Linked DNA regions of Macaca mulatta. The protein of the gene in region 3 interacts with the protein of the main gene of each other region in a pairwise test. Links are inferred from orthologs where the notes say so. Each region holds a gene or a part of one and is shown on either strand. Other genes may lie near its edges.

Region 1 (3,519 bases), on a different chromosome or scaffold from region 3:
TGTGGCTTTTTTTTTTTTTTTCTGAGACTGAGTCTCACTCTGTCACCCAGGCTGGAGTACAGTGGCTCAATTCCGGCTTACTGCAACCTCCGCCTCCTGGGTTCAAGCAATTCTCCTGCCTCAGCCTGCCCAGTAGCTGGGATTACAGGCTTTTGCCACCACGCCCAGCTAGTATCTATGTTAAAGATAGGTCAGACCAATAAATTAGCAATGTTGGCTGAATAAACAACTTAGGAGAATTCTCAACATTAGATAATCTTCGAAAGATGTGTATAAGACTTCACAACAGAACAGAACAGATGTATCATTCTAAGCAGAAGAAACAAAATTAGCACAACAGCAAAAATGGTCACAGAGGTCCCTATTATAACATTCAAACTTAATTTGATACAGACAAGAATCAGACTGTATAGAATTGTAATAATGAAACAATCATCCAAAGGAAAGAAGCAAGTCCAACCAAACCAGAAAAGACTAATGGACAGTTACCAGTTTTAATAGGGACCCCGCTGGCCAATATGGATAAAATACATACCAAAAATTAGAAAAGGGATACCTAATAAAGTTTATAACAACATACACCGAACAAGTTCTCACCATGAACACATCTTAAGTCACAAACTATTTATGAGTTGAACTAGACTATGGTCAAACAACAGTAACTTGGAACTGATTATTCAGTTGATGTCATCATAAAGCAATGGTATCAGCAGTTACAAATCTCAGGTTACCAAATCCAATTTGATAAGTTTTCAAGATGCAACAACGAATCCTGCATAACTCCCAATTCAAACTAAAGTTTACAAAGATGCTTAAATATTTATCAAAATACATGAAGACTTTACCTTTTCACTACCAGCTAAATCAACCAGATAAAGTTTTCCACTGAGCTTTTGTTCCGTTTGTGTGTTCTCTTGTTTTACATTAATAAGAAATATACTGTGACTCCTAGAGCTATGTTCATTCATATCTGCAAGGAAATTACACAAATATAAATAAACATGATTTCCTCTTAACAATTTCCCTAAAGCAATCTTATAATTAATCACCTGGATAAGGATATTTTAAGCTGGTTTTAAATCCTAACCGGTGTTATTTTCTACTTACTTGTAACTGCTACATGTCTGTTGGATTTTCCTTCATCTATGGTATCCATAACTTCATCTGGACTACATACAAAACGCTCTGTGCACCCCTGTGAAATAATTTTTAAAAATACATTAATGTCTGGCCAACATAGTGAAACCCTGTCTCTAATAAAAATATAAAAATTAGCCAGGCGCAGTGGGAGATGCCTGCAATCCTAGCTACTTGGGAGCCTGAGGCAGAAGAATTGCTTGAGCCTGGGAGGTGGAGGTTGCAGTGAGCCACTGCACTCCAGCCTGAGCAACACAGTGAGACTCCGTATAATAAATAAATAAATAAGGCGGGTGGATCAGGAGATCAGAAGTTTGAGACCAGTCTGGCAAACATGGTGAAATCCCGTCTCTACAAAAAATACAAAAATTAGCTGGGCGTGGTGGCACACGCCTGTAATCTCAGCTACTCAAGAGGCAGAGGCAGGAGAATTGCTTGAACCTGGAAGGCAGAGGTTGCAGTGAGCCAAGATTGCACCACTGCACTCCAGCCTGGGAGACAGAGTGAGACTGTCTCAAAAAAAAAGTATTACAGGGTTTTTCTAGACAACTGTACTATAAATACCTTTACATAGGGAACTCGGTTTTTGTCTTCATGAACTGAAAGGTTGGTCTTTGAAACTGAAAAAGAAAAATAAATATTAGCAACATTCTCCTAAAACTAACACTGGATGTGAAATAATTCAATTGATAGGCGTCTCTGAGCAGCCTAACAGCAATAGTTGAACTCTAAAAAAAGTGCTAAAACATTGCTCTAAAGCAGACCTTATAGACACAGTAGGAGATCTAAATAGAAACCAATGTAACAATATAGAATTTTAGGACCACTCCAACCTATACCACCCACATTTTATAAACAAGAACGTTAACCGGGAGTGGTTCAATGATTTGCCTAAGGACAACGTATCTAATTGAGAGCTGACAGAATACTAGAACTCAGGGCTCAGATTATGTAACTCCCAGTCCAGTGCTCTAATTACTACTTAAGAAGTACCCATAAACATCGCTTTAAACAAATTATTCTATTTAGAGGTATTCAACTAAAACTTTAGAAGAAAAAAAAATTCTATTTCCAATAACTTAAGACAGTTTCATACAGGTTACAAAGAAATAGTCTCATATCTACTATTAAAAAGGAATTAACAGATGCTACTTAAAACTGATTAACTAGCAAGAATTTAACTTACCATCTAATAGGTCCCTTATCTTATCCAAATATATTTCAAAATATGAAACCTAAAGGGCAAATTTAAAAAAACATCAATCAACTAAAATTATATAATAACTTACTCACATATTGAGGTCTGAGTGCTAGGCACTGTTTAGACTAGGAGAACAGTTATCAACATACCAGCCATAGTTCACATTCTAATGGGAAGACATAAATTAACCAAATTAGCTTAGTTATTTAAGCAGTCTTCTCACTGGACATAATTCACATTATCTTCATCTAAAACGAATTAGAATAGTTTCGTGTAGTAGAAACTTTCAAGTTCTGCAGTAAAGCAACCTCCTTTATTTTATGGAGGAGGCTAAAGACTAAATCATTTAAGTTAGTTAACATTCCTGTTCATCTAATGGCAGATGAACAAGAATCCAAGTTTACTAACCTGAATGATCTTTCAACTATGCCTTTCCATAAAAATAATTTTTAAAATTACTTTAAAGAAACTAGCATTTACAATTTTTTAAGAACAGTATTCTTGCTGTAAAATAAAATACAAACTTTCCTCAAGGAATTTACCTTAATATGAAATTCCAAATTTTCATCCATGGAGTAAATATAATTAAAAATATCTTGCACTATTCTTGGAATAATTCCCATGCCTTCTGGATCATGAAGTTTACCCTAAACAAAAAACAAAACTAGACTTCTTAGACAAATTATAAAATATGAAGTAAAAACAAAGAGTTTCAATCTACAACTTATAGTCAAGAAAGGATGGGAACTGTATTTTGTGGAAACGGCTCTGTAAATACCTAAAAAATCCAATTCAACTATTACACATACACATAGTACTGTACATCAACCACATGGGTCACCAACAGATCTTAACACTTCATTTAATCACTAGATTTAGATTATCCATGCTTGTAAAATGTTCATTGTAAAATGAACATAATAAAAAAGATTTTAGTTTCTTTCCATAATTCTACATTGCTCCTTCTACTTCAAGGCAAATTCATGCAAATACTAGGATGTCCTTGTTCTCTATAATATGAAAATCAGTAATATGAATCACACTAAAAGCAGTCATTTACTTAATATAGTAGTCAAATAAATGATAAAAACAGATGCTCTTTAGCAGTGGCAGAAAATCACAGGCTGTTTTCTAGAAGCAAAGCTATAGTGAGTCCCCATCTATTATTAACAGCAGCACTG
Region 2 (3,519 bases), on a different chromosome or scaffold from region 3:
GGCCAAGGTGGGTGGATCACGAGGTCAGGAGACCGAGAATATCCTGGCTAACATGGTAAAACCCTGTCTCTACTAAAAATACAAAAAAAAAATTAGCTGGGCATGGTGGTGGGCGCCTGTAGTCCCAGCTACTTGGGAGGCTGAGGCAGGAGAATGGCGTGAACCCAGGAGGCGGAGCTTGCAGTGAGACGAGATTGCGCCACTGCGCTTCAGCATGGGCAAGAGTGAGACTCCATCTCAAAAAAAAAAAAAATCTAAAAAATATATTAAAAATTAAAAAAAAAGAAAAAATTAGGCACTTGACCTCCTTAGTGCCCATTTGAGTCTCTTCCAAGTGTACTTTCCTTTCTTTCCTGCTGTAAACCTTCCAGTAAAATTCCACTTAAAAAATTAATGAATTAATTAAAAAAAGAGCTGGGTATGATGGCTCATGCCTGTAATCCCAGCACTTTGGGAGGTGGGTGGATCACCTGGGGTCAGGAGTTCGAGATCAGCCTGACCAACATGGCGAAACCCCGTCTCTCCTAAAAATACAAAAATTAGCAGGGCGTGGTGGTGGGTGCCTATAATCCCAACTATTAGGGAGGCTGAGGCAGGAGAGCAGCTTGAATTGGGAAATGGAGGTTGCAGTGAGCCAAGATCATGCCATTGCACTCCATCCTGGGTGACAGAGCGAGACTCTGTCTCAAAAAAGAGAGAGAGAGAGAGAGACAGAAAAAAAAAAGAAAAATACCAAAAGCCATACACTACAATGCTAACCATGGCTATTTTAGGGTGGTGGCATTAGAATTATGGGCTATTTATTCTTTGTGTATTTCTGAAGTTTCTGTGATAAACTTGTATAATTTTTGAAATAAGGAAAAAAGAAACCTTTTTTTTTTTTTGGAGACAGAATCTCATTCTGTCACCCAGGCTGGAGTGCAGTGGTGCAATCTCGGCTTACTGCAACTTCTGCCTCCCAGGTTCAGGTGATTCTTCTGCCTCAGTCTCCTGAGTAGCTGGGACTACAGGCGCGCATCACCACACCAGGCTAATTTTTGTAATTTTAGTAGATATGGGGTTTCAGCATATTGGCCAGGCTGGTCTTGAACTCTTTTTTTTTTTTTTTTTTTGAGACGGAGTCTCGCTGTGTCACCCAGGCTGGAGTGCAGTGGCTGGATCTCAGCTCACTGCAAGCTCCGCCTCCCGAGTTTACGCCATTCTCCTGCCTCAGCCCGAGTAGCTGGGACTACAGGCGCCCGCCACCTCACCCGGCTAGCTTTTTGTATTTTTTAGTAGAGACGGGGTTTCACCGTGTTAGCCAGGATGGTCTCGATCTCCTGACCTCGTGATCCGCCCGTCTCGGCCTCCCAAAGGGCTGGGATTACAGGCTTGAGCCACCGCGCCCGGCCGGTCTTGAATTCTTGACGTTGGGTTATCGCCTGCCTTGGCCTCCCAAAGTGCTGGGATTACAGGCGTGAGCCACCGCACCCAGCCAAGAAAATATATATATATATTTTTGAGACAGAATCTTGCTCTGTCGCCCAGGCTGGAGTGCAGTGGAGTAATCTCTGCTCACTGCAAGCTCCGCCTCCCGGGTTCACGCCATTCTCCAGCCTCAGCCTCCCAAGTAGCTGGGACTACACGCGCCCGCCACCATGACTGGCTATTTTTTTTGTATTTTTAGTAGAGATGGGGTTTCACCATGTTGGCCAGAATAGTCTCAATCTCCTGACCTCGCGATCTGCTCGCCTTGGCCTCTCAAAGTGCTGGGATTACAGGCTTGAGATACCATGCCCGGGCGAACCCAGAAATTTGAGGCTACAGTGAGCTATGATTATACCATTGCACTCTAGCCTGGGCAGCAGAGCAAAACCCCTTCTCTGAAGAAAAAATGAATAAATATTTGTTAATGACATCTCATATCCATCCATTCTTCTTCATTCTATCATTATCACCTAATTCAAGCCTTCACTACATGTCTTGATTTATTGCAAAAGTCTTTTTTTTTTTTTTTTTTTTTTTTTTGAGACGGAGTCTCGCGCTGTCACCCAGGCTGGAGTGCAGTGGCTGGATCTCAGCTCACTGCAAGCTCCGCCTCCCGGGTTCACGCCATTCTCCTGCCTCCGCCTCCCGAGTAGCTGGGACTACAGGCGTCCGCCACCTCGGCCGGCTAGTTTTTTGTATTTTTTAGTAGAGACAGGGTTTCACCGTGTTAACCAGGATGGTCTCGATCTCCTGACCTCGTGATCCGCCCGTCTCGGCCTCCCAAAGTGCTGGGATTACAGGCTTGAGCCACCGCGCCCGGCCGCAAAAGTCTTAGAATTGGTCATCCACCCAGTCTAACCCCCTTTTTTACCCATCTTGTCCCCTTACTGCCAAGTTAATCCTCTATAGGATACACTATTTTTATTATGTTACTTTTACTCCTTTATTAAATATCTGCAAAGATCGTATATTGCCTAAAAGTTCCAATAGAAATTTGTTAGTATACGTCCACTATGTTCTGCCCTACCTACACAATTTTAAATTCTGTCTTCTACAACAGACTCCATATTCAACATAGGTTGATATCCTGAGTGTTCAACCCGCTCTCATTAACCTTTGCAAGTCCCTCCACTCATTCCCTTGAAATACTGGGCCAACTCATCCATTCTACACAGCCTACAAAAAACAAGTCAAAGGAATTATACTTATTTCTTGTGGTTCTGGAGGGCAGAATCAGAATTATGGGTAGAAAGAATGGAGCAGATTTTAGAATCACTGAAGAAAATTAATAATGGCAGCAACTGGATGAACTACAAGATGGAATGACTAGAAGCAAGAGTACTTTTATCACAGGAATAATGAATCAATTTATTATTTTATTTAACAACTACATGGTTAACATGTATATAAAGTACTTATCAAAATGAAAGAAAAAAACACCTTTCATAGGCAAGGTATTGTGTGTGTATGGATGGATGGATGGATGGATATATGCATACACACAACCATATACAACACAGTAATTAATAAACACTGTAAATGATAATTTGCTAAAGAATGTTAGAGGAGTATATATTCAGGACAACTTGAATCTGTGCCTCCTGAGTTGGGAGTCCTCAAATTTGGCCCAAATAAACTCTCTACTTATATTAAAACAAACAAAACAAGTTAGAAATCCAAAAGAGAGAAAAGACCTTTACAGCTAAGATAAAAAAAGCAGCATCTGAGATGGACATCTCTTTAAGTATTGCAGGTTGAAATAATAGGTAAGAGGTGGCACAGAGAAGAAAGAGTAAGAGGATGATACCTGATTGTTTTCAGGGCTAAGACGACCTCCTGTCCCAGGAGTGCCTGGTATCTTTACCACTGTAGTACTGTTGGCCATGGAGCCTTGTGGAGGGGTGCTGGCTGGTTCCGGTTTTATGGATGAGAAATTGGAGAGGTTGATTAGGGCTGAGGGGCCAAACTGGTTCATAATCTGCCGAGCTTTGGACTTCAGCTCATAGAGCTTATCGAGATCCTGTTTCTTTTTGGAGCTGTGAGGACCAAGGC
Region 3 (3,519 bases):
GGCCAGAGAGGACATCTTCTACCTAGAGAACGCCTCCCTGTAAAGTTACAACTAGTGGCTCTTGCCTACATCTATGTGATTGTATGACGTCTGCTATTAGATAAAGACCACATATACATGTGCTATAGATGCGGGGTAGGAATGCAATTATACAAAACAACTTTCAAATAACAAAACAAATGCAATTATAGATAGCAGAAGAAACAATGAGTTATAAAAACTAGCATTACCACTTAATCTCTTCAAATAAAAACATGGATAAATTTTTTTTATTCAAGGAAATTTTTCTATAGAACTAAATATTCCTAGCAAAACAGAAACTTTTAAAGCAAAATAAAATAAAAGTATAAACATGCACTTACCTCCAAAGATTTAAGGAATGGCAGTGACTCAATAAAGCTTTCATACATTTTTCTCTTTTTGGCATTGTTTTTCACAATTATTCTCCTGAAGGTTACCCTGTCCTAAAGGCAGAATATCAAATAAAAGACAGTTAAAAGGTAAATTTTATGGGGGAAAAGCTATACAAATAGTTTTATTTTATTCCCTACAAGAAGCAATGATTGAAGATTCTGAAATAAAAGATTAACATCAGTATATTTTTAATGCAACTCATTTCATATTTTTATTTCATCAAGCACAAAATATAATACAGAACCCCATAAAATACTGTTTTCTTTTTTTTTTTTAAGGAAGTATGTTTACTTTCATACATAACAGAAATCTGACCAACATGTTGGGCTCTGCCCACAAGGAGGCGCTATCACAGCATTTTTTAAAATATATGGTAGCACTGTGTTCTTTTACTCTGTGTTATGTACTCTATGTTTTTTCATATCCACATTATGTCAAAATTTTCTTTTTAAAAATGTGGAGATATGCCCAAAGAAATGATAAATGCTTAAAGTGATGGCTACTCCATTTACCCTGATGTCATCATTATGCATTGTATGCTGTTATCAAAATAGCTTATGTACCCTGTACATATATACACATACTATGTACCCATAAAAAATTTTTTTTAATGTGGAGGCACAGAGAAATTACAACTATGTTTTTGAGTAAGATCTAATTCCAGTGTTTACCATGTTCACAGTCTAAAAGGTTCCTGTTTATGTTTATACTACATGCCCTCAAAAATGCAGAACTCGGTTGAAGAACTAGTAAAAATTTTAAGGATACAGCTCAAAAAATTATTTTCCTAAAAATTTTATTTTAAATAATCTCTCATATTTTAATTCTTTAATAAAAGCCTCAATAATTATGTTAGCTTGGCATTCATTAATAAACAATTATACCATTTTAATAAAGTAAAAATTGGGATATATTATTTAATAAATTACTATGCAAACAATTTAATATTTTTTACTTTTATTTTTAATTTTTGTGGGTATATAGTAGGTGTATATTTATGGGGTACATGAGATATTTTGATACAGGCATGCAACGTGACATACGCACATCATAGAGAATGGGGTATCCGACCCCTCAAGCATTTATCCTTTGAGTTACAAACAATCCAATTACACTTATTTTAAAATTATACAATTTTATTATGTGCTACCAAATACTAGGTCTTATTCATTCTTTCTTATGCCACCATAGTAAGGCTGAATTTAAACGAACTAGTGCAATAGAGAAAAAGGCCAGTATAGATGAAAGTCTCTAGGTGCGATGGGCTGCAACTCAATGTTTCTATCATTCTAAAATCCCTCTGTTGAAATCCTGATCACCCAGGATAGTATTAGGTGGTGGAGTCTTTGGGAGATGGTTAGGTCATGAGGGTGGAGCATTCATGAATCGGATTAATGTCCTTATAAAAGAGATTCTAATGAGCTCCCTTGCCCCTTCCACCACGTGAGAACACAAGTAGAGGACGTTGTCTGTTAAACAGGAAAACAAGCCCTCCCCAGACCCGAATCTTCTGGTGCCTTGATCTTGGACTTCCCAGTGTCCAGACGATGAGAAATAAATGTTTGTTGCTTAAGCCTCCCATTCTGTAACAGTTTGTCACAGCGGCCCAAAAGGACTAGGACACTAGTAAATTAAACATCTTGTTTCCCAATTTGGTATTGGCTGTAATTTGGACTTGTTTTACTCCTAATACTTCTTTTAAAAGAAAATTTTACGATAATTAGCACAAATATTGAAATTATTTCCAAGCCTAGCTCTGCATCAGAATAAGCTAGAGTACTAAAAAGGATTTCTGAGACACCAGACTTGAATGACTCAAGATCTCTGCATGTAGGGCTCAATAATGTGTATTTCATAAATGCTCCCAAAGTGATTCTGATACATAATCAGGTTTGGAAATCAGGTATAACACCATTTTTATGGACAGAGTTTATTGCAAAACAGAGAAGACTCAAAATAGCTTAATGGTTTAGAAACTAATCATAATCAGTTATCTCTCTCAGAAAGAATTTACCATTAGTAACGTATCTCTTCACACCCAGTGTGACATATAAAGTCCAGAATTTCAAATACTTTCATCCTGAAGCCATTTCAACAATCCCCCTTCCAAATCATCAGTACAGTCACATAGATCATGTTACCCCTAAGGCTAACAGTGACCAAATATTATTTACAGAGTGAGGCTATACTGCAATGGACTTTTCTCTTGGGCTTTTTTTGCTTATCTTTACACTTACATTTATAAGGCAGACCTCCAGTCTGTTGACCTTAAAAGAAAAATTTCTTTTCTACTCGACTCTCCCTGAGAAGGAGTTATTATAGTCAAGTCGCCCTTAAAAAGCAGGCTTGAAATACTAAGCAATTATGTTAATTATCCTAACATTTTTAGAAAGCTATTATACATCAGGAGGATCATGACAAACTGCCCACTTTTATAAAATTTAGTAACATGTATAGACAACTAAAAATCTCTGAAAATGCTTAATCCTTCTTAGGAACTTAAGTAGTACGTGGACTAGGAAATTCTGGGTCTTTTATACCCAATTAAGGTTTCTACAAGGGGTAAAAACTATCAGTATTCAAAAAGGCCAACCTATAAAATCATTGATCTTATTCTGAAGATGTGCAAGGAGGCAATTTCCTCACTGTGTGACAATCTGAATCTGAATGGCAACCCCACTGGAATGACTACATTTGAAAAGTAAACCTTCCTCAATAAAACAGGTCATGGCAGATGCTAGATTTATCCCACCGCTTTAATGACAGGCAAACAAACACTTCTGTGGGTGAAGGACTGTTCCGGTTTGGAGTTTTTTCTTTGCTGGTTCTGGGTATTCAAATCGCTGACAGTTCTTAAAACACTTCAGATGATGAGTTTCCTTCTCCCTGAGACAACTCAGCTTTTCTTCTAAACCTTAAAAAAGTGACTCATCACATTTTTAAATAAGTATATAATAACTGGTTCTAATTAAAAGAAATGTAAAATGTCTTGTCTCTTTGATCAAGAGATATTTTTATCAGCTGAATCGACTTCAGAGTCAAATGCTGAACTGTGACTAAATAATGTGTGACTTCTGTAATGCTATATACAGTCGTCCTTGGAAA

Evidence for each region.
Region 1: the proteins of PRKAR2B (region 3) and KIF5B interact in binary tests that used the Homo sapiens proteins (3 or more experiments, as listed by UniProt). The two-hybrid records come from large-scale screens. The link is inferred for Macaca mulatta from reciprocal best matches to the Homo sapiens genes PRKAR2B and KIF5B.
Region 2: the proteins of PRKAR2B (region 3) and TAF12 interact in binary tests that used the Homo sapiens proteins (3 or more experiments, as listed by UniProt). The two-hybrid records come from large-scale screens. The link is inferred for Macaca mulatta from reciprocal best matches to the Homo sapiens genes PRKAR2B and TAF12.

Annotation. Positions count from the first base shown.
Region 1 is NC_133414.1:33,398,265-33,401,783, forward strand, and holds part of KIF5B (kinesin-1 heavy chain), read right to left. Parts: intron 2,986-3,519; coding exon 2,881-2,985; intron 2,373-2,880; coding exon 2,324-2,372; intron 1,758-2,323; coding exon 1,702-1,757; intron 1,196-1,701; coding exon 1,108-1,195; intron 971-1,107; coding exon 846-970; intron 1-845. UniProt on the Homo sapiens protein: Microtubule-dependent motor required for normal distribution of mitochondria and lysosomes. Can induce formation of neurite-like membrane protrusions in non-neuronal cells in a ZFYVE27-dependent manner.
Region 2 is NC_133406.1:212,279,717-212,283,235, reverse strand, and holds part of TAF12 (transcription initiation factor TFIID subunit 12), read right to left. Parts: coding exon 3,275-3,519; intron 1-3,274. UniProt on the Homo sapiens protein: The TFIID basal transcription factor complex plays a major role in the initiation of RNA polymerase II (Pol II)-dependent transcription.
Region 3 is NC_133408.1:146,759,654-146,763,172, reverse strand, and holds part of PRKAR2B (cAMP-dependent protein kinase type II-beta regulatory subunit), read right to left. Parts: intron 465-3,519; coding exon 363-464; intron 1-362. UniProt on the Homo sapiens protein: Regulatory subunit of the cAMP-dependent protein kinases involved in cAMP signaling in cells. Type II regulatory chains mediate membrane association by binding to anchoring proteins, including the MAP2 kinase.